Linked DNA regions of Cricetulus griseus. The protein of the gene in region 2 purifies or fractionates together with the protein of the main gene of each other region. This does not show direct contact. Links are inferred from orthologs where the notes say so. Each region holds a gene or a part of one and is shown on either strand. Other genes may lie near its edges.

Evidence for each region. The genes of interacting proteins can lie anywhere in the genome.
Region 1: the proteins of Pml (region 2) and Zmym2 purify together in Homo sapiens (affinity purification with western blotting; 3 studies listed by BioGRID, with this or other methods). This does not show direct contact. The link is inferred for Cricetulus griseus from reciprocal best matches to the Homo sapiens genes PML and ZMYM2.
Region 3: the proteins of Pml (region 2) and Ndufs1 purify together in Homo sapiens (affinity purification with mass spectrometry; 3 studies listed by BioGRID and IntAct, counting the BioPlex papers as one, with this or other methods). This does not show direct contact. The link is inferred for Cricetulus griseus from reciprocal best matches to the Homo sapiens genes PML and NDUFS1.

What each region holds. Positions count from the first base shown.
Region 1 is NW_023276807.1:212,011,075-212,019,206, reverse strand, and holds part of Zmym2 (zinc finger MYM-type protein 2), read right to left. Parts: intron 7,925-8,132; coding exon 7,773-7,924; intron 4,141-7,772; coding exon 4,026-4,140; intron 3,466-4,025; coding exon of another isoform or gene 3,452-3,465; exon of another isoform or gene 3,451-3,451; coding exon 3,199-3,450; intron 1,846-3,198; coding exon 1,725-1,845; intron 1-1,724. UniProt on the Homo sapiens protein: Involved in the negative regulation of transcription.
Region 2 is NC_048597.1:169,821,465-169,829,613, forward strand, and holds the end of Pml (protein PML), read right to left. Parts: intron 4,269-8,149; coding exon 4,118-4,268; intron 3,131-4,117; coding exon 2,346-3,130; 3' UTR 399-2,345; downstream 1-398.
Region 3 is NC_048595.1:417,269,799-417,277,947, forward strand, and holds part of Ndufs1 (NADH-ubiquinone oxidoreductase 75 kDa subunit, mitochondrial), read right to left. Parts: intron 7,527-8,149; 5' UTR 7,522-7,526; coding exon 7,461-7,521; intron 6,549-7,460; coding exon 6,457-6,548; intron 5,453-6,456; coding exon 5,345-5,452; intron 2,569-5,344; coding exon 2,492-2,568; intron 890-2,491; coding exon 808-889; intron 719-807; coding exon 588-718; intron 145-587; coding exon 1-144.

The DNA.
Region 1 (8,132 bases), on a different chromosome or scaffold from region 2:
TAACTTTACTTATTTCAAGAACAACTCAGCCCCCAGCATCAGATGTGCTCAATGCCTTCTGCCTCATTAACCGCATTGTTTTATCAGTAAATTGTTCTCTTAAGTTTTGTGATAAAAGCATGAGCTCCCTACTATAATTCTAATCCTGTATTTCATAGAATCCAAGACTCCATTAATATATACACTATTTTTTTTAGTCATGTTTATATTGGTGCCAATTATAATCTCAAATGCATTAATTTAACAGTGCATGTCCATTTCAGGAAAAGGGAAATGCAAAAAAAAAAAAATGACTTAAAATGATGAAAATATGCAGCATAGTAAAGTCTTACAGCATTATACAAAAGAAAGAAAGAAAGAAAGAAAGAAAAGGGGAAAAAACCCAAACATTAAATACCAACAAGACAATACTGAGAAAGGAACTCCCATCTGGCAAATAGTCACCAACACTGGAAATAAATGAAACTAAATTGATGCTCCAGAACAGAGCTGAAGAGAAGAAACCTACTCTTACACTTGTTACAAACATGGTCATGCTAAAGGTAAAGTTCATACTTTTATAAGTTCTTGACAGCCACCCTGGAAACCACACTACAATGTGAGAAGTTGTTTACAAACCCAACTCTGCACTTTCTGAAAGTCAGAGTGCTTATTTAAAACACTCAAAATGAAACCATCTGACAGAGGACTGACTCAACAAAGCCTGCTAATTCCAGACAGGATGACAGCAGTCATGCAACTGGAGGACCTTCCAAAGAATGTCTTCAAAAAACTGTTTTCTTTCACATCTAGATTTTTTTTTTTTTTTTTTTTTGGTTTTTCAAGACAGGGTTTCTCTGTGTAGCTTTGGAGCCTATCCTGGCACTCGCTCTGTAGACCAGGCTAGCCTCGAACTCACAGAGATCGCCTGTCTCTGCCTCCCGAGTGCTGGGACTAAAAGCGTGTGCCACCAATGCCCGGCTATAAATATTTTATTTTCATCTCTACCCATTGTACCTACTTTGAAAGACATCTACCTTTGCACTAGGCAAACAGTGGCCAGCAACCTGTATAAAGCCATGTACCGTGAACTTACTATTATACAATATATGGCCTCTTCTAGTTGTAGTAAGACAATCAAGTAGATAGAGACTAAATACCCAAAAACCTAAAATAGTTACCTCTAAATAGAAAGTTTGTGTCCCTGCTTAGCAAGCAACAGAACTGCTCTAATATAAAAGACAATAGCAGAGTGATACTTTTAATAGAGCAACTGCTTAACACGGAGGGAAGCCTAAAGCCTATGTGGTTGGTATTTCACAAGAGGACTCTAAAGTTAAAGTAGAATATAACTTTGGAATATAAACTTTCATTTAAACAAAGAAAGAAATCTCAAAAAATGGTAAATGTCACTTCTTAATGGGGTGTGCGTTAGTGCATGCGTGTTATATTGGTTTTTCATGACAGAGTTTCACTGTGTAGCCCTGGCTGTCCTGGAGCTCTCTCTGGAGACCAGGCTGGCCTTGAACTCACAGAGACCTCTTCCTCTGCCTCCTGAGTGCTGGGATTAAAGGTGTGCACCATCACTGCCCAACAATACCATCATTTAATAGTGTTCAATTCAACCAACTTATACAAACATCTTAAAAAGTCAAGTATCAGGCTGAGCATGTAGATCAGTGGTAGAGCCACCAGTTCAATACCCCAGTACTACAAAATAAAAGTCAAATATCAATAATGTTCACCTTTTAGACAAGTAGCATTCAAACATTTTCACAGGACATCTAGAAGGGTTGGCTGTGTTTTCAATTTGTTCAAATACTGGCTCATCATCTTCATGTTTTCGTTTTCCAGTAGCAATTTTATCTTTAAAAAGCAACAATAACAAAAGTAAGCTTCCTAAAACCAATCGTTTTTTCTTTCTTGTGTATATGTGTATGTATGTTATGTGTATGAATGTGGGCACAGTGTGCCACAGCGTAGATGAGGTCAGAGGAGTTTTGAAAGTCAGTTCTTGTCTTCCACCTATCCTAGGCAGGCTCTCTCTGCTTCTGAACTGCATACTCCAGGCTAGCTGGACTATGAGCTTCCTGGTGATTCTCCCATCTACCTCTCTTCTCCCCATAGGGTGCTGAGATTACAGGTGCACCCTACTGCATCTAGCTTTTTATGTGGGCTCCAGAATTCCAATTCAAGTGGTCAGACATGTGCAACAACTGATTTCACTCACTGGTTTTACTTACCAACACCCTAAAACCAGTTCTGAGGAAAGAAATTACTATTCATCCATAGCACCTGTTTTATCAACATTGGATTAGGTTCTCTTCAGAGTTTTCTGTGTGGTAGGTTTTGATAATGTGTATCTTTCCAACAAAAGGAACTGAGAGGCTAAGAATACAGCTCAGTTGGCAGCTGGTAGAATGCTTGCCTAGTATGCCTGATGCCCAAGTTTGAACATCAGCTAAGCATAAAAACAGGTGCAATGTTTCATGCAGGTAGTCTCAGCAAAGGAAGGAGGACTGCACAGTTCCAAGGTCATTCTTTGATATAATGTTTAAGGCCAGTTTGAATTAGAACTCCAATCTCAAAACAAATAACAAAAAGAAACGAAGACATTTTAAGATACAGTTTGAAGGCAGAGGCAGAAGGATATCTAGGAGTTTGAGGCCATCTTGGTCTACACAGGGAGTTCCAGACTAGCCAAAGATACACAGGTAAGACCATGTCTCAAGAAATAAAGGAAAGAAAGAAAGAAAGAAAGAAAGAAAGAAAGAAAGAAAGAAAGAAAGGAAGGAAGGAAGGAAGGAAGGAAGGAAGGAAGGAAGGAAGGAAGGAAGGAAGGAAGGAAGGAAGGAAAAGGGGGGAATCACAACACATTTTGTTGTGTTTTATGAAAGCAATTGTCTTTAGGTTCTTAATGACTGGTTGAGGTGGGCTTTGATAGAAAAAGTTTGACTATTCCCATCACAAACAATCTCTAAATAAAAATGCTATAATACCAGGGCCAGTGATGGCTCAGAGGTTAAGAACACTTACTGCTCTTGCAGAAGACCTTGGTTTAGTTCCTAGAATCTGTATGGTGTCTTAAAATCATTCATACCTCCAGTTCCAAGGGATCTGACACCCTTATGGCACCCTGAGGCACTGCATATATGTGGTGTATAGGCAAAACACACAGAAAATAAAGATAAATTTTGATTTTAAAAGAAATTATACTACCTTCATTGTCTGTTCCACATAAGGAAGACACCTGGTAACGAAGACATGCTTTGTTTTCCATTGTTAAAGGATTTTTTTTCCAATGCCTAAACACGGTGCCAAAGGAAAGTCTTAAGTGTTGTTCCACTGTTTTCAGGCCAAAATACTTAGTGTTAAAGTAGAACAGGGTGTTCAAAAGAGCTACTGGAGAGTGTGATCCTAGTTGTTTTATCCTCCAGAGATAGTCTTCTTCAACCCGAGAGAATATTGACCCTTAAATAGAGAGAACTATTTTAAAAGAATTATAAATACAACAGTTTAAATTTAACCATGTAGAAATAAAAGTGAATTTAAAACATCCCAATGCCAATCCACTTTCCACATTAGGTCAATGTGAATGAACCTGAAAATTACATATTAGCTCTTTTAACAATATAAAAGGTTGGGGAACAGTGTATGGAACCACCATCCACAGAATAAGGTACAGGATGCTAGCTTCTGTCCTTCAGTAGGACAAACAAGTTATGATCAGAAAATAATTTAAAATATGTATAATCCTTGAAAACAACATGTGCTTCCCAGAAACAAATACATTTTCGTCACATCAGAATCTGTATATTGTTGGTCTTAAGACATAAATATCTAACCTTGCACTCTTCCTCAGAGTAGGCCACTTGTTTTACAAAGTTCTTCAAAAGCATTAGTTACTGACTATTTATTTGCAAATGAGCTCATGGGCACAAGCTCTTACTTTCTAATTTAAATCATACCTAACTATACTTAACATACTTTCTATAAAAACAACAATTCCATTAGCAACTATTAACACATATTAAAAAGAAAATTACCATCTGGAAGGATGCTTGGTTGCCAACTTCGGAGTATTTTACTCAATTCTTGCTCAAACATCTGGTATCCTGGATCAATAAATATGTTGTCCTTTCGATTACTACCACATAAGTACTACAAAAAAAATTATTGGAGGAAAACCAGCTAATTATAAGCAGTCAATGTATTGTACTTTTCATTTCTTAAGAAAAAGTTTTATGTTTAAGAAAAGCAAGGATTCTAATAAACACAAGAGATTACTGGCCATGGGTATGTGTGTACAATGGAAAAAGCATGAATTACCAATTAACCTGTTGCTTAAAACATGCAAAGCTGGAAAGTATAACACAAAATCCTGAATATAAACACTGGATAAGAATCATTAGTCTAGGCCACAGAAATGGTTTAACAAGTAAAGCATTTGCCATGCAAAAAGCATGACATGCAAGGGACCTCAGAACCCACTCTACAACATTGTCCTCTGATTGCCATCTGTTCAGTGTGGCATACACAAACTTTCATCATACATACACACACACTCGCTCAGTGGTCTGTCAGACACAATATAGAATCCTCAATTTATATCACACATGGAGAAAAATAATCATTTTAAAGAATAATTAATGATTAAAGGAAAACATTGAGGAGCTAGCTGGCTGCCTCTGCTCTCCCAATCTTCTGCCAATCCTCTGGTTGGGCTTTTGAAAATGCCGAGAACCTAACCAGGGTGGAGCACCTGTCTAATGTGCTCAAGGGCCCGGGCATTATTTCCAGGATAGCAGAAATCAAAACAGGAACAATATTTTCACTTGAAAACTAAACAATTTATAGGAGAGTTCAGGTCCTTTATAGTATGACTTTACCATCACTCTTTATACTTCATACCTGACACCTACCCATGTTAAACATGGTTCCTGGGAAACTGCCTGACTCTGTCTTCTAGGGATGCCATTTCCTTTCATCCTTTCTGTCTACAAAATTTCTATCTGTATTTCAAAAAAATTCAATTTAAAGTCTTTCATGCTGTGTACACGTTTGTGCAACATACATGTGCATGCACATGCATGTGGAGGCCATACGTGAACACCGAATGTCTTCCTTAATTGCTTCTCCACTTGTTTTATGAGACAGAATCTCTCATTGAACATGGAGCTCAATGATTCAGGTATACTACCTGGCCAGGAAGCCCTAGGAAACCCCATCTCCTCCTTCCTAGAACTGGGATTATAAGCAAATACTTGGCTTTTTACATGGATCCAAATTCAGAACCTCAAGCTTGTGCTGCAAACACTTTATCAACTGAGCTATATCCTTGCCCCATTGGATAGAATTGATAGATACTTGTCCCAAAACTGTTCTACAGATAATCTTTGGGTAGAGGACCATATATTTCAAATCCTTGAGCAAACCATATTATAGTAGCCTCCCTTGCTATTCTCCCTCATGGCCCTTGCCTCAAACTTACAATCCCCCTGCCTCACAGATGTTAGCATGCACCATGTACCATGCCTGGTTTATAATGATTTTCTAAGTCAAACTGAACAGATTCTATTTGATTTTTTCTTTTGTTGTTTTTTCTTTTTTTCTGGGGGGGGTCGTCTTTGTGGGGTTTTTTGTTTTTTGGTTTTTTTTGTTTTTTTTGAGACAGGGTCTTGCTATGTATCCCAGACAAGCGAAGAACTCACAATGCAACACCCAGGCTGACCTCACATTCATAAGCCTACCTGCCTCAGCCCCCACAAATACCATGCTAACCATACTCAGTCCAGATTCAAAACTTACGAATTACATAATTTAGAAAAGCTACTACTTATAGCATCTCTCTTCATCAGAACAAGGCAAAAAATAAAGAGTAGGTACATCCAATGCTTAGAATGTGTATACAGAAAATCAAATGTTAGCAATTAGTTAATGAAATCTATCAACACGAGTATGCCAATTTCTAAAACACATCAATGTCCAGTAAACAGAAAATATTAAAATGAAGGAGTAGCAAGACTCAAGCTTGCTTCATAAATTTACACATATTTTATAGTATTAATAAATGCTGCAGTCTTAAAGTCTCATGAATAAAAAAAAAGTTGATTGTATTTAATTAGCAGTTACTAAAAACTACTCATTTGTATAGAACTTGAAGTTGGAGGTTTCTGTCCCACCAGGTCTTGCCGCCCGTCAGCCCCAAATGATAGGCAGGAAGTATAGGCAGAGCTAAGAGAGGAAAGAAGAGGAGACATTGTGAAGCCACAAGAGAGATGCCATGTAGAGACCAGGGAGATGGGATGTGCCAGTGGTTCTCTGGTAAGATAAGGCCATGTAGAAATACATATATTAGTAGTTATGGGTTAATAATTAAGAGAGAGCTAGCCAGTAAGAAGCCCTAGCCTTTGGCAACAGTTTATAAATTAATATAAGTCTTTCTGTGTTTATTTGGAGCTAATTGGCTACTGGACCAGGCTGGAAAGAAACTCCAGCAACAGAACTACACGGGCCATTGCTCTACTCTTTCTTAAATTTATAAACATAGTGCAAAGCTTTAAAACAAAATCTTACTACATTCCTACGTCTAAAATACTCAAAGGTTAAACCCTAGAATAAATTCTGGGATGATGTCAAGTTTCTCTCTAGAGAGGCTAGCTAGGGACTTGAAAGAGAGAGAAATCTATCAGCATAGACTATGAAATTCTCAAAGAATGAAAATATTAAAAACAACAAATAAACCTTCAAAACTAACCAATCAAGCAACCAAAAAACCTAGAAGCTCATTTTTAGGATATGTTTAGAAGGTGCTTTAAAATAAAATTTTATATAGACTCTAAAACACAATGAAAATAAAGATATGGATTAAAGTAACAAGAAAGGCCTAAAACTTTCTCTCCTTTCCCACTGAACCCCAGGGCTCTGTTTTACACAGAAAAATAGTTGATCTTTACATCTGCATGGTCAAAAATCATGTCTCATGAAACAAAGGGCATATAAAGTTACTTAGCATTGTTAGTGTGGTCTAGGTACATATATTTTTACCCTGTATAGAAACATGAGCAACTCTAAAGGGAATTCTGAAGCTAACCATCTATGAATTCATTTTCTTGCAACTACTAAAAAATGATGTCATCCCCAAACAGACAACACTTTTAAGACTCCTCACAAAAGATGCATGAGGCTAGGCATGGTGGTGCATATGGTAATTCCAGCATGTAGGAGGCAGAGGGAGGTGGGTTTCTGTGGGTCTTAGGTCAGCCAGGGATATACAGTGAGATCCTGTTTTAAAAAACAAAAACAAAACAAAACAAAAAAAAACAAAAACAAAAACAAAAAAGGGGGGACACAGTTGAGCTAAGTCAATTGTTTTTTGGTTTTTGTCTTGATACAAAATATCTAGGAAAATATTTTATGTGCCCTAGGTATCTTTTATATACCCTAGATATTTCCAAAGAGATTAAATTCTACCTTTCTTGGTAAGCAAACAGAAATTCCGGAAACCTGAGACTGGAGAAATGACTCACCCAAGAACACTGCTCAATAATGAAGATCAGAGTTCAGATACAGCACCCACATCATGAAACTCACAAACACCTATAAACACTGGCTCCAAGGTATCTGATACTTTCTCTGGCCTCTGTGGACATTCATACACACATGTGCATACATACATACACATATAAATTACATAAACATTTTAAAGTTCTAGAAAATGAAGCTTAAATTTTCATAGGCAATCTATATATCGAAAAATTCTACCATAACTTTTATTATATTCAAAAACTTACCTCCTGTATACCAAGGCAGAGGTAATAGATGCTGTCAGGTGCGTAATTTTCTCCGTTTGGGCGTCGGATCTCATTGACAAAATGGGCTAACCCACAGCTGAGTTCAGCTGTGGTATGAGAGAGTAGATCTTCTTTTAACTTTACTGATTTAGCTAAAAAGAAATAAAATAATCAGTAACTTATGTCTCTGCACCCATGCTGGGCAGCTCATGACTGCCTTTAACTCCAGCTTTAACTATGATACCATCTTTTGGCTTCCACAGGCATCCATACACACATGGACTATATTCATAGAAATACACACATAGACATAAATAAAATTAAATCCTGAGGTTAGAAAGATGACTAAGCGGGCTGGAG
Region 2 (8,149 bases):
CTATTGCTCAGAGGCTACAAGACTCTTATCGGCTCCTGCAGGCCTAGGCACTCTGCCCCAACATAGTGTGTATTAATATTACTATTTTGCTAAGATTTGCTGTTGGCTTTCTTATAAAGTGCTAACTCTCATCTTGTTTGTGAAATAAGACCTTAAGATCAGGAAACTGATCTTCTCATTGAGCTTATCAAAGACCTCATGAAGTAAAATACAATACACCTTATCTCACTTTCAAAGGAGCTGCCTGTAATCAGGGAGTTAACAGCCACATTGTGGCCACTGGCTACCAAGAACTGAATTCCAGTGCCCTAACTTGTAGTCCAATAAGGTTTTGATGGTTGCTGGTGGTAGTGGGATAAATCTTGACAGAATTTTTTTTTAAGAAAATGGCACACACAGCATATTTAAACTTTGATATTTTTGGTCAAAGGTCAAACTAAGAGATTAAAGCTCCAGAGTGGGACTTGGGCACCTGGGCAGTGGGTATAATGATGATGTTACTGAATAAGCCTGTTGGTGGTGGCGCACACCTTTAATCCCAGCACTTGGGAGGTAGGGGCAGGTGGATCTCTGAGTTTGAGGCTAGCCTGGTCTACAGAGTGAGTTCCAGGGCAGCCAGGGCTACATGGAGAAACCCTGCCTTAAAAAACCAAAATAAAAAAATTCACATATAAGGGCTGCAACATCAGACAGGACAGGGCTTCTTTCCTCCCTTTGTCATAAATCTGCAGCAGCTGAAACTGAAGACAGCCAGCCTGGTGGGGCTGGGACTCAGTATGAGACATGGCTCCAGCACTGCCTTGCCTGTATAGCCAGGCGAGGGTCTTAGCCTCTTTTCCTCGACATCCTCAGCCCCACCCAGAACCAGAGCTCTAATGGATTGCTGTCAGAGCTCAGTCTCACCATGGTAGAAATGGGCTTCTACAGGATGCCTTCAAACATCAGGACGGGTCAGAGGTGTGGGCAGGCATCGCTCACTTGAAAGTGGAGACCACCAAACCTATCAAGACCGGACCTCTGGGCTATCTGGGAAATTCCTTGAAGCAGGAAGCAGGGAATGGGTGAGGAGGTGGACAACACCAGCAACAGTTCAGATAAGCATAGGGAAGCTGACGTTCAAGATGATCATAAGGTTGGGGACCAGTGGCTTGGCATGAGAGGTAGGGTCTTATCTGCTGCGCCAGCAAGCTGCTGTCCACACTGAGAGACCAGGATGACAGAACTGGCTGGGGACTCTGAGATAAAAATGCAGGCCAGCCAGCTCATTTCACAGAACACTAGAGCTCTGGCCTAATCATATTCAGTGTACACAGCCAGGTGTTTTCTCTACTTCCCTTTGATGGGGAGGTGGTCTGTGACAGCAGTGATGCTCAGAACTGAGCAGACAGCGTTGCCCGGAGAACCTGTTAATGCTGCAGGCTCTACTCCAGACAGCCTGATTCTGGGGACCTCGGTAAAGCCACCTTCCCAAAGGTCTCGATGCAAGTGTCCTACTGGGTGTCCCTTGAAAGGGCTGAGTGCAAGGGGGGTTAGAAGGCCTGATGAACAAAGAACAAAGTTGGAAGTGTCAGTCTGTAGAAACGGGGATATGGATGGAGCAACAGCTTCTAGCTCTCTGATGCTAGAAGGCCCCTTTGGAATGGAAGTGTTTTTTTTTTTTTTCATGAGCACAGTTGGTCTCTGGGCAGTGGAAGCTGGGAGAACCCAAATTCATGAAGGGCAATTTGGTTTGAGAGGCACTTTGGGTGCCCAGGGGGTTGCTGGTATAGTGGTAAGCATTGTCTTAGAGCAGTGGTTCTCACCTTGTGGGCCATGACCATAGAAAACACTTATTTCTGATTATCTTAGCAATTGAGACACTGCTCAGCAGCAAGGTTACAGCTATGGCTGGGGGTTCCTAAGACCACCAGAAATGTGAGTTCTCCAATGGTCACAACCTGCAGGTTGAGGACCTCTGCCTGAGGGTGTTATTCGTGGGAGCTACCAGCAGATCACTTGGGACATTTTGATTGAGCATCAGGGAGGAGCTGCAAGGCCCCCCGTGGTAGTTGTAGGTGAGGTGCCTGGGGCCATATGAGGGCCAATCAGAGAGCCCAGAGGCCACACCTTGTAAAGTCTTCCTAATTCTGTCTTCTAGAGGAAGGACTTAGGTCTGGGGTGCCTTTGATGTCTGCTGCAGGAATTTTAGAGAAAGAGTGTTTGGTCCCAGATAAAGGGCACCTATTCCGAACTAAAGAACAGCTCTGTGTTGGAGAGCAGGGCCTGGGAATGTGGTGAAGGGTGGGGCCTGGCTCAAGGATGCCCCTCCCTCTGTGGCTACCGGCTAAGCCAGATATCCCTTTCTGTCAGCTCTGCTCGGAGGCCTCTTTGGCCAAGCTCTGGCCAGAGAGAGTAGAGTTACCTTCTGACCTGGCTGGGGCACACCCTTCTGACAGTTCTTCCATGTAGGTGTTCAGAGCCTGAAGGTATTGAGCAAGTTGGGTGGAAGCCGATGAGGAAGAGGTCTGCGGGCTCAGATAGCGGCCATACCTCTTCAAACCCTCTTGCTGGTTGCTGCGGTATGCAGTCAGCAGTTCTAGAAAGCTCACATTGTGGAGGGCCAAGAGGCGGGCCTCGGCCGGGGGCAGGACACTAGCCTGAACTAGGGGCTGCAGGGAAGAGAAGCACTGTAAGTTACTGAAGGGGTAGACATGCTGGACCAGCTGTGGCCCTGGGGAGACCTCAAGGAGGCAGCACAAGTCTCGCATGGCCAGCACAGCAGCCAGGGCACTCCGTTCACTCATGTTTCTCGCCAGGTAGGTCTTGGCCAGGTTCCTGAGTTTGAAGCTGCTGGCACCGGGTATGCGTTCCTGAATGAGAGGCAACACAGCCAAGAAGCCGTAGATGGCACCCTGGAATTCCCACAGCTTGTTAATATCATCCAGGGCCTTGAAGAAAATGGGGAGCCCAGGCCCCCACAGCTTAGAGCAGGCCAAGATGGGGCGCTGCATGGAGGTGAGAAAGTTGAGGAAGTGCTGCAGTCCGACCTCCAGGGAGACTGCCTTAGAGTAGACACTGAAGGTCTCCGGCTCGATGAGTACTCGGAACTTGCTTTCCTGGTTCACAGCTGCCAGTTGGCTAATTTTCTGGGCTAGGCAGGAAAGAAGGGCAGGGTAAGGCTCCAGGGTTTAGGAGGCACTGGGTGCAAGGGGCCAGGCTGCTCACCCACTATCTAGAGAGCCCACCTTGAGGCCTGCTGGCAGGAACCAAATAGTTCTTGAACCAATGTAGTTCTTGCCTAGCTTTGATGGGACGGGTCGGGGGCTCACTTGTCGGCAAGGTGGTTTTCCCTATCCCTCCTGCCCTCCTAGAGTTTGCTCAATCCTAAGAACTCTGCCCTTTTTGTATTTTCTCAGCCTCCACCTCCACCAGAGACCCCAGAGGGTTTCTTCTGGGCCTTCTATAATCCTACTCCTACCTCCAACCCCATCAGTACCAGCCCAGGACTGAAGACAACAGAAATGGCCTGTGTACCCCCTAAGGGCATGGCCCAGAGTCTCCCCCTGAAGCCTACAGATGTGTGCTATGCAAATACCTGATGCTTCTGTCTGGTAGGCCAGCCACAATGGCAGGGCCCACAACTGTTAGCCAGGACAAAGGGTCAGAGCTGAGGGGCTGGGCAAGGATGACAGCGAGGAAGACAGGGGGCTTCTAAGAGGAGGAGTCACAACTCCCTGAGATCTAGGTTCTGCAAGCCTCCCTGTGTATCCCTTTGTGGGCTGGGCCCTGTTTGGGGAAATGTGTGATTGTAGCCAAAGGTCAAGTGTGGATTACTTGTCAGCAATGAGCTCACACACTGTTCCCAGACTCTCTGTATAGAGAAGGTCTTGTCAGACGTGAACCGATGGCATTACATATCTCCCTCCCATACCCACGTTCCACTTAGGCAGATATGGCAACATCAGATATCCTAGGTGGGGTCAGAGTCCTCTGTCTACCTGGCTGCCACAGCCTGTCAGTGCTAAGGGCTGGCTGGAGCCTTCCAGGTGTCTCTAACTGCACTTTTCCTGAGGACTCAGAGACTAAGATAAAAAAAGAGATGATGTAAAAGAGATGGTGTAGCTCTTGGGGAACCCACTTTCACTGTCAATCTTGAGGTCAAAGAAAACCAGGGCCCTGTCTTCCGCTTGGGGGTCAGCGAGGCTCTCGTCCGATGCCTTGAGGAAATTGGGGCCCTCCAGCTGGAGGTCACTGGATTCACTGCTGCTGTCTTCCAGCTCGAGGGAGGACTGCAACACAAAAAAGCCAATAGGTCAGGAGTTCAGAGGCCCGAAGGACCAGGTGAGATGACCCTGCACTCTAGAGCAAGTGTGCACACATACAGGAAGATGTAGGAATGTTACTAAGCTGGCACAGTAAGAGCATCTGTGTGCACCAGAGGGTAGAGTAGAGGGGATGCGTGTGCAGGTGTGAACTGGGTCACACTCCTTAGAGAGGGAGGTGTGAAAGGGCAAGACCATACAGGTGAGCATGGGTGTGTGTACAGATGTGTACGTGGGATGCACGTGTGAGGGGTATGAATCTATGGACAGTGTTGGCACAAGTATGTGAAGTGTGAGATGGGGTAGGGTGGGGTGGGGCAAGTTGTGCCTGCTTGCGGAGGCTCAGGGAAGGGGCCAATGCCTCAGGTATGCAAGGACTGAGGTATCTGCTCCAAATTTTTCCTCTCTGAGCAGACTCAGAAGAAACAAATGGCACAGATGAGAACGAGATAGGAGTCTCATCCACAGCCCCAAGCGATTCTTTGGAAGGGGCAGGAGCCTGGCTTTCCTAGCCCTCAAAACCAGATTGACCCATGGTGTCTTTCAGTTTAGGGAAAGGAAGGGCTACTTGGCCTCTTGACGTCCACATCTTGGTGGACATGCATTCCCTGGTTGGGAGAGGGTCTGGGTGGGAGCAGCTCGGAGCCTCAGATCCTGGAGATTTCAGCTCTCCACATCCATACCTCAGCTGCACTGAGGAGCCTTGGAGCTCAGGAACCCACCCCAGGCTTGCAAAAAGGCTTGGCTCTCCAGCGCAGTGGCAAGGTTGTCCTGGCTGGAACACCATTTCAAAGGCCCTAGGCCTCAAGGATGGGAAGGGCTCTCTCTACCTCTGAGATTTTCTCAAGGACCTGGAGCTACAGACAGGTTAGAGTGTCTGAGGATAATACATAGTCACTTAACAGCACAGCTTGTGAATATCCTATGCATGTCACTTTTGGACATTAGACAGGGCCAAATGGGACAGATGGGGAACTGCTGGGACAGAGCCGAGAGACGGCCCTGGTCTGTCTTCTTACAGACTGCTCTGGTTGTCAATGGAGTTATCACCTGGGGCTGAGACCTCTATTCGCTGTGGCCTCCAGCTAATGCCTCTGGCTTGAGAGAAAGCATAAGTGCTGTCTTGGTTGTTGTTTTGTTAACTTGACACAAGCTAGAGGTATCTGAGAAGGGTTTCTGTCTGTATGTGTCTATCCTCACAAGTGGACTTGGGGGCAGAGCTGAGCCACCCTGGCCTTGTCCTTCCCTGATCTGGGAATGTTCACTCTTGCCAGCCTTTGAAGAGCCGGCTCACTAGCCCAGTCGATTCTGCTGCCACTGGCATGACACACGGGCTTCATCTTCCTTGGTCTTCTTCTAGCTTCAAACATTACTTCAAAAGCCCCTTTGTGGCCCCAGGCGCTTCTACCTGACTCCTGGCAATGACTCCCATCTCCTTCTGGTGATGTTCCTTTATGCCTCAAAGGCAATCTTCCAGAGCAGGACACCTGGAGTGCCACACAGCTGGACTTTTCGGTTAGCGCCTTCATCTTCACACCACATGGCAGGAAGCCTCATTTCTAAGTCTGCCTTCTCTGAGGGAACCTGTGGGTGTCTCACTAACAAGATGCCTCCTTCCCTTCCTCTGTGCTGTAACCGGAGGAAAGGCTGGGTCTACCTTTTAGCCTAGACACAGCCCTGCCTCCCCCCGCCCCCCATCTCTGAGATCAGCCATGCACTAAGGCAGAGGAACACTGCAGTACTTAAGCTAGGCAGCTATAAACTCCCTATTCACCTCTTCTCTTAACTCCCAACCAGCCTGCAGGAGTGGACCACTTAAGCAAGACATTTCTAAAGAGGAGAGCCTACAGGAGGGCATACAGAGCATCTGGCACCAGAATCTTTTCCTCCTGGCTCAGCAAGGCAACCTCTGGTCACATCTGCAGCCCTCACTCCTCCATCTGATTCCAAAAACCAGAATAGGGTGTGAAGGAGGACAGGGGGAGGGAGAAGACAGACAGACAGACAGGTGCTGGTGGAAGAAGGGGATGTGGAGACAGAGGGAATAGAGCTGAGAAAATAGAGGTTGGCCTAGGAGTGAGAACAGCAAAGGGAAGAGCAAAATACTTCAAGAAACTGTGGAGTGATGAGAGCCCAAGGGATGGGATGGCGGAACCTAAGTGTCACTATGGGTTATAAGCTCTTTCCTTCCCTGTTCCCAGAGGCAAGAGCCAGCCTGTCTTGTCCCTCATGTATAACACCCTCTATGTAAATGTCACTTTCTTTAAAACAAATGAACATTCCTCTCACCTACATGTGCAACTAAATCCCCCAATTCAGTGGTGCTTGATTTTGGCCAGGCCTGAGTTGCATAAAAAGCTCTGAAAGTCCAGGCTGCACATGGAACAATTCAATTAGAGTCTGAGGGAGTGGGACCCAGTAATCTGCAATTGTTTAAACTCCTCAGTGCATAGCCAGGTTTGAGAACCCTGGGTCTACATAGGGGTTCATTCCATGTTGGATCATCAGCTGAACAGACACAAGCCAAATCCTTTAGGAAGCTGGCATCCAGCTTGAAGGAGCCATCTAGTATCTTCCATTAGTGCCCAGTGAGAGTTGTGATCCTGGGGAACTTTCTCAGCACTCAAGCTTCAGCTACAGCTGGCCTCAGTTTAGCAAGACACAGGCATCTCTGGGGTGTACAGACACAAACTCCTAGCTCATGCAGTCTTGAAGGCCTTGGAGACACAACAAAGATATTAGGAAGCCAGGCCATCTGATTGCCTGCTTCTGCCTGCTGCTCCAGACCTTCTGCAGGCAGCTCTGCTCTTAGGCAAACAGGCCCTACCTTCTCAACCAAGCACCCAACTCACATTCTCTGATATGCACACTCATCGGTGTCATGATTGCATCTCTGCACCAGTGGCTGCCCATGGGCCTCCCTTCCTCTGCCAGTCATCATTGTTAGGTCTATCACAGCCTGCCCCCTTAGCTGGATCCCTTCCTGCTTGGTCCTTCTGCTGCCAAGGTGTCTGATCATCTGTCACAATTATGGGTGAGAGTACCTAACTCTTCTGCTGTGACTCCTCAAACAGCGGCACTGGCTAGGCACAGGGCTTGACTACCCTTCCAGGGTTTAAGCAACAGTTCTCGTCTCATGGACTCTACAAGAGACTAGGACTTGACTTCTGCTCCAAATCTGTGACCCTGATGTAAGGGCGAGCTCTTCCAATGCATTCCTCCTTGCTCAGTCTCTCTCCTCAGACAGAGCTTCAGGCCAAGATGGCGCAGACCCCCACTGGATCACTAGGAAAAGGTGGCACCCAAACAGACCGATACTACAGAACAGCTTCTCATTGAAAGGCAGAACAAAGGCCTCACAGCAAGGATATGTGGCTGGGTAGCCCTGGAGCACTGTCCCTCCCTCCAAAGTACAGGGAGATGATGATGGTGATGGTAGGTCTGAGGGCTTGAGGCACAAGTGGCTGTGGTCTGAGTCAGAGCAGTCCATTTAGAGATGGTGCCAAGGAACACAGCGTGGCCATATCACTGCTTGGCAGCTGAAATGGCAGGCTGAAGATCCTTCTGATGTCAAGGAGCACAGGACAGATAGCGGGCATTGAAATCAAGCAGGAAGAAAGCAAGACATGAGGGGGAAAGGAAATCTAGGGGGCAGATGGTCCTATCTTCCCCCTATGGGCTGGGGTCCGAGACAAACTGGGAAGATAAGGTTAGTTACAACCGAAGAGCTCCCAGGTAATATCAGTACTGTACAGGCCATGTCCCGCTGCCCACTTTGGATGCTCATAAGTGTGGAAGGAAGACAGCCATAATCTCCTCCAGAGAAAAGCTAAGTTCCATACAGGGCG
Region 3 (8,149 bases), on a different chromosome or scaffold from region 2:
GTTAGGGCACCTACAGGGCAGATATCAATGATATTCCCAGACAATTCAGACATGAACATTTTTTCAATGTATGTGCCAACTTGCATGTCATTTCCTCTGCCCGTTGTGCCCAAATCATCTACTCCTGCAATCTCACTTGCAAACCTAAAAAATAACAATTTATCAAATGGTTGAGTTCAACAAACAGCATTTCCTTTCCTATTCATAATCACAAAGACAATGACTTCCAAAACATTAAAAAGGCATTAGCACATTTTTAATGATAAGCATAGTCAGCAAATAAAAATTAATGTTTTTCTGTAACTAAAGTATAACACACAAATGGAAAACTGTACAAATCATGTATATACAGTTCAGTAAGTTATCACATAATTAATACCAAAATTAAAGTTTTAAATTTAACTGAAATAGGCATTAATTGAAAGCAAATATCATAGTTCTTTCATCAAAATATATGAAAAAAAAAACACCCAAAACAAGAAAAACAAAATCTAACTTTCCCCACTAAATAATGGCTATCATTTCAAGTGTTATTATTCAATGAAAATAAGTTAGTACCCAGTGATATTCCTGAAGAGAAACATTACCTGATGCATCGAGTACACTGTATACATCTAGTCATGATAGTCTTTACCAATGGTCCAATGTTCTTGTCCTCCACAGCACGTTTCCCCTCTAGAAACCGGCTCCTATCGCTTCCAAACATCATGGACTGGTCCTTAAGTAGATTACGAGACAGTCAATCTAATGCTGCTAATGAAATTAAAATGAATCAATCAAAAAGATTAACAGAATTGTTCTAGATACCTGCAGATCACATTCACCTCCCTGGTCACAAATAGGACAGTCCAATGGGTGATTTGCTAATAAGAACTCCATCACACCTTCTCTGTATGAAAAATTGAATATATAAAGTAACGTAAGCAGCTACCACTAAAAAATGGCGACCTTTCCTTTAGACTACCTCCATAACCTTCAAAGGTATTTTTTTACAGTTAGCGTAAATTTTACATTGACTTCCAGACATGGTACCATACTAGTATTCAGCTAGTATTAAACACAGTTTGAACATGTTCATAGAGTTTCAACTAAAATACTGATCCTAAGAAATTGACTTTCAGGGCTTTGTTTATTCACTTATTTGAGACTGGCCTCCAACTCACAATGTAGTCAAGGATGTCCTTGCATTCTGATTTTCCTGCCTATACCTTCCAAATGATGGAAATACAGGTATATGCCACCATCATCAGCATTTTTTATTTTTTTAAAGACAGGGTCTTGCTATGTAGCCCATGTAGCATCAATCTCCCAATTGCTGAAACTATAGGCATGTGCTATTATGCTCATATTTTAAAATTATGACTTTTGGGCTGGAGAGATGGCTCAGTGATTAAGAGCAGTGGTTGCTCTTTCAGAGGATCCAAGTTCAATTCCCAGCACCTACATGGCAGCTCACAACTGTCCGTAACTCCAGTTCCAGGGGATCTGGCACCCTTATACAGACATGCATACAGGCAAGATACCAATGCACAGAAAATAAAATAAATGTTTTTTTTTTACTTTTTTTTTTTTCAAGACAGGGTTTCTCTGTGGCTTTGGAGGCTGTCCTGGAACTAGCTAGCTCTTGTAGACTAGGCTGGCCTCGAACTCACAGAGATCCGCCTGCCTCTGCCTCCCGAATGCTGGGATTAAAGGCGAGCGCCACAACGGCCCAGCTATGTATTTTTTTAAATGATGACTTTTAACAATACAGAACTCTCAAACATCGCTAGGGGTAGGGTGTAGCTTAACTGGTAGAATGATCACCTAGCATGCATGGAGCCTTGAATTCAACTCCACTACTGCATTACTGAGGCATGGTGTCCTATGCCTGTAATCCTGGTACTAAGGAAGGGGAACCAGACTCTCAAGGTCACCTTCAGCCTCATGAGTGTGAGACCATCCTGTGCTACATGAGAGCATCTCCAAAACAAATTCTGTTGAAATTACTGAAAGGTTCTCAGAAAATATCAACATTAATTTTGTTGTTGTTGTTTTTTGAGACAGGGTTTCTCTGTATTGCTCTGCAGACCAGGCTGGAGTCGAAATCACAGAGATCTGCCTGCTTCTGCCTCCCAAGTGCTGGGATTAAACATGTGCAACACCACCACCCAGCTTCAACATTAATTTAAAATGAAGATGGGGCTGGAATTACATACAGCACTATGGCAAAGCACTCACCTGTATCAGTTCTATAGCTTTACCACAAGCTTCAGAAACACACTGAGCACCAGAGCCAATGTATCATGAACTCAGCTCAGCAAGCCCTGGGTACTACTCATCACGAGGTGAATTTTCAACGCTGACACTATTCCAAGCAGTATCTTGACTACTTGAGCTGACCTCCTCTACTGTGTACTCATTTCTGCTGTTCTCCAAAGGCTGACACTAAATCCCTCATCTATGGGAGGCATAAATACCTCCTGACAATTCTACAGCAGTAACAACATACCTGGCTTTCTTAGATTTTTCCGAGTTAGTCAGGATATTCCAGCCCTTCATAACAGGCATAGCACAAGCAGCTACAACCTAGAATTTCAATGGAGAAATCCATATTTGTATTTATTTGTAGTCATAAGCAATGCTACATACAAAACATTAAAAAGTAAACAAAACCCTGGGACATACAATGAGTTGCATGATAGCCTGAGATCTGTCTCAAAGACTAAAAAAAAAAAAAAAAAAAAAAAGCAGAGATTTATTTTTCAAAATAGATTTTAGTTTTCAGCTAGGTATAGTGGTGTATGCCTATAACCTCAGCACTCAAGAGGTAGAGGCTGTAAGTGTGAGGCTAGCCAAGTCTAGCCAGGGTTTTATTTATAGTGGGACCTTCTCTAAAAGACAACAAACTTTTTTTCCAGGTATTTTTATAACCATAAGATAATCTGAACCTTCATGTTATTTTTTCCCCCCTGAGACAGGGTTTCTCTGTGTAACAACCTTGGCTGTCCTGGAAATTGCTTTATAAACCAGGCTGGCCTCGAAGTCACAGAGGTCCACCTACCACCACCACCCAGTCCCCTTCATGTTAATCTTAAAAAATAAATAAGGCATTGCTATGGTTTGTCCCCAATCTACAAAGACTTATGAGAAGCAGTGTCAAGTGGGAGGCAACTGGGACATGGGAGAGTAATACTGGTATCTCAGTGACTAGGTCTTAGAGTAGATTAGCTCTCACGAGAAGTGGGTTATTGCCAAATAAGGGGGGTGGGCCCTCTTGCTTTTCCTTCTGTCATATTATACAACAATCACATGTCTACCAAATGTAGTTGCTTGATTTGGGGCTTTCAGACTCCAAAACTATGAGCTAAATAAACCTCTTCATAAAGTATCCAGTCTTGGATATTTTGTTATAGCAACCCCAAAGAGGCTAAGATATATTAGTAGTCCTTAAGGATTTTTTATTAGTCAAAGCAGCATTTTATCATGCCCTCAAATCATTTTTTTCTTTTTCTTTTCTTTTTTTTTTTTTTTGAGATAGGGTTTCTCCACCTGGCTCTCTATGTAGACCAGGCTGTCCTCAAACTCAGAGATTCAACTACCTCTGCCTTCTAAGTGCTGGGATTAAAGGTGTGCACCATTATGCTTGGCTCTTACTTTTTAAACTTTTTCCTGGTCTGTCTGTCTGTCTTTAATTTGTTCTTACTTAAAAAAATGTAAAGACAGGGTCTTACTGTGTAGTCCGGCTGACCTGGAACTCACTATGTAGATCAGGCTAGGTTCCCACTGGCAGGTCTGCCCGCCTCTGCCCTGTGTGCTGGTATTAAAGGTGTGCACTATCACACCCATCCTGATCACCATTTCTGTGCCTCAAAAACCAGGAACAGGTAGACAAGATGGCTCAGTGTGTAAAGTTACTTACTATGTCAACCCTGGCACCTACATAAAAGAGAAGGGTGATCTGACAAGTTGTCCCCTAATCTCCACATTTCATGTCACATGCATACATATCATGCGCACATACATGATTAAAAAAAGGCATGGCAGCTCATGTCTATATTAGCATTGAGGAGACTAGTGGGTAATGGCACTTGCTGCCAAGCTTGACAGATGTACATGTGCAGCAGTATGCATATAATATACACTCAGGCATGCATGAAAGCAAGCACACAAATATATACACTAAATATAATAAAATTTTAAAAATAGTTTAACATTAGCGTGTGCTAGATATTAAATTTGAGGTCATCCTGAACTATGTAGAGAGACTTTGTCTCAAAAAAATGAAACCAAGGATCAGTGAGACGGCTCAGTGAGTAAAGGCACTTTCATACTTGGTGACCTGAGAGTTCAATCCCCAGGACCCACACGGTAGAAAGATTCAGACTCCTGTAAACTGTTCTCTGGCTTCCACATGTGCATCAAGACACGTACCCCAGACCTCATTTCCTACTAATTAAATGAATACTTATCTTTTAAATTAAAAAAGCAAACAAACAAAGAACAACAGTAACAAAAACCAAGAAAAGAGTCCTAGGATTTAAGGAGCTAGCTTGGTCAGTAAAGTGCTTGCTGTGTTAGGAATTTAAGTTTGATCCCTAAAACCAATATAAAAAAAGCTGGGCATAGTGGTGCCTCAGCATTGGGGAGGCAAAGACAAGCACATCCCTGGGGCTTACCGCTTTATCCTAACCAGAGAAACCTGTCTAAAAACAAGACGGAGGATCCCTGAGGAATGACACGTGAAGTTGTCCTTTTGCGAGCGCACGTGCACACACACACTCACACACACCCCAGCCTTGTTTTCATTTGAGGCATTGCTGACTTACAGCTGTATACACCAAAGTGCATTTACATAACTAAAGTCAACTTCTCTACAACTTGGCCAAGTGAAAACGGCACAGAATAAGCACTTCCACATGCTACATCTGCACCATGAGTCTTAACATACTCATACCTGGAGGCCTCATGGCAGCTGCGGGGCATGTCTTTAATCCCAGCACTCAGGAGGCAGAGGCAGGCAGATCTCTGTGAGTTCGAGACCAGCATGGCCTACAGAGTGAGTTCTAGGGCAGCCAGGGCTACACAGAGAAACCCTGTCTCTAAAAAGCAAAAAACAAAATAAAAAACAAACAAACAAACAAAACCAAAAACCAAAACCAAAACCACCTTGAATTCCTAGACTTGTTATATGGCCTTAATGTTTATACAACACTTCCATCAATGTATTTCACTTTGAAATGAATCATCTATATACAAAAAAACATTGAATTTATAATAGTATTGATGTTACAGAAAAGTTTGCTGCAAGATTTAAAGTTTTCTCCCTCCTATTGCATGATATGGAATTCCAGGCATCATGTACCTTTGGAGCTTTCTCAATTTCCACCAGGCACATCCTGCAGTTCCCAGCAACAGACAACCTTTCATGGTAACAGAACCGAGGGATCTGAATGCCAACCTTCTCGCAAGCCTAGAAGACAAAACTTTGCATTAGAAGATCTTCACAGCTGGGCAGTGGTGGCTCATACCTTTAATCCCAGAACTTTGGAGGCAAAGGCAGGCAGATCTCTGTGAGTTTGAGGCCAACCTGGTCTACAGAGTGAGTGCCAGGAAAGCTAGGACTGTTACATAGAGAAACTCTGTTTCAAAAAACAAACAAAAATCTTCGCTTGGGTTGGAGAGATGGCTCTGAGGTTAAGAGCACTGACTGCTCTTCCAGAGGTCCTGAGTTCAATTCCCAGCAACCACATGGTGGCTCACAACCATCGATAATGAGATCTGGTACTGTCTTCTGGAATGCAAGTGTACATGTAGACAAAACACTGTACATAATAAATAAATTAATAAATTAAATATTTAAAAAAAGACCCTGACTTTGTGCTTGTCCTCACTGAAACAGAAGGTGGGTGTGAGTGGGGTGGGGTCCTTTATTACTAACATCCCTAAATACCTCTACTTTCACCCACTACTCCATATGTTCCTGAAGAGATTTCACTCTTTACTTTGATTCCCAAACCGTCAGCTCTGAAGCTGCCTCAAAGGACACAAGCATCCTCAAAGTTTCCTCATTTTATGTGTAAGAAATTAGGTAAAGTACCCACAGTCTGTGGTGAAGTCTTTTCTCCCATTATCTGCTTTGAGCCATTGTCCACAAGCTTCCCGGTCAAACTGTCCCAGTGGCTTCATGCCTGGACTTCCCTTTTGTTTTTTGGTTTTTTTTTTTGTTTTTTTGAGACAGGGTTCCTCTGTACAGCTCTGGCCCTCTTGGAACTCGCTCTGTAGACCAGGATGGCCTCAGACTCTTAGAAATCCTCCTACCTCTGCCTCTCAAATGGTGGGATTAACGGTGTGCCCCACCACTGCCTGCTACTGAATGTTTTGCTTTGTTTTTAAACTAAACAGTATGAAGTAAATAATTTTTGAACAAAAATCAGAGAACATACCGTCACAAAAATAATTACAACATATGCATACCTGCAAGACAGTAGTTCCTGGTTCCACCATGACAGACTGACCATCAACAAATACTTCAATCAAGTTACTTGCTGCTGTGGCAGTTGTTCGAACTGATCATCAAAACAAAAATGAAAAACAAATTAACAGAGCTTAACTCATTACAGCAGAAGCTACTGGATTAACCATGCATAAAAATTTTCATTTTTGCTAGTCCTCTTCCTCAAGATGCAAACTTCTAAAAGTACTAAAGCAGCACAAAAAGTTTTTCAATTCAATTCTATCAAACATATATCTTTAGACTTAGAAAAGCCTAACAAGGCCCTTTTTCCAGGTAACCCTGGCTGGTGGGGAACTCAATACCTGCCTCTGCCTTCTGAGTGCTAGGATTAAACATGTGTGCCACCAACACCAGGGCTTAGACATCTATTTTTAATAGTAGTTTAAGATGAGACTTTAAGGCCTTGGTGGCACATGCCTTTAATCCCATCACTTGGGAGATCTTTGTGAGTTTAAGGCCAGCCTGGTCTACAGAGCGAGTGCCAGGATAGGCTCCAAAGCTACACAGAGAAACCCTGTCTCGAACCCCTCACCCAAAAAGATGAGACTTTAATATTGCTTTATCAAAACCAAATGACCACTGTTTTTGGTTTTGAAACAGAATGTAGTTTCTAGTATTTTCTATTATGTGTTTTTTGTTTATTTTGAAAATTTTTTTGTCAACTTGGGTCAATTGTTTCTACTCTTATTTAATGTAAATTATGGGCTCAAAAATATCTGATAGACCATGGAACTGACAAAGGTAAGTCTAATACTCATGAACATATATATATATATATGGCTCAGCAGTTAAGAGCACTGACTGTTCTTCTAGAGGTCCTGAGTTCAATTCCTGACAATCACATGGTGGCTCACAACCACCTTGAATGAGATCTGGTGCCCTCTGCTGGCATGCAGGCAGAAGACTGTATACATAATAAATAAAATAAAATAAAAAAAACAAACAAACAAACAAAAGAACTTACCATATCCTTTAGCAGACTTAGAAAGGGCTATTATGGCCCTTTTTACAGGTATCCTTAACATGTTGGCTAAAAAATAAAATAAAGATGAATTATAGTTATAATTCATAATTATAAAACATCTGGTATTCATATACATTATTCTAAGAGAATCTTCAGAAGTCCTGACGTTTTCTCTCAAATTGTATATACAACATTCAGTCTCAGAGACATTAGCTTATACAATGTCACATAGCTAAAAAGCAGTTAGCATACAGTAGACTTTGGGTCCTCCTCATCTAGATAAGTGCTTTACAACTGAACTACATCTCCAGTGTAAATTTGGGCTTTGTGATGCAAAGGGCAGTTTTGTTATAATCAGAAGGAAGTGGTGAGGGCTTAGAATACAGCTTGGTTGGTATACAACACACAAGAGTGCTTGCCTAGCATTCAGGAAGTCCTAAACTATAACCACAGCACAACATAAATTGGCTTACATGTCTGTAATCCCAGAATCTGGGAGGATCAGAAGTTTAAGGTCATCTTTTGCTACATAGCAAGTTTGAAGTCAGGGAGAGATACAGGAAACACTATCTTAAAAGAAAAAGAGCTAAGAATAAAGTAAAATAAATTGCAAAAATAACTATCACCTTTAGTCCCAGCACTTGGGAGGCAGAGGCAGGTGGATCTCTGTGAGTTCGAGACCAGCCTGG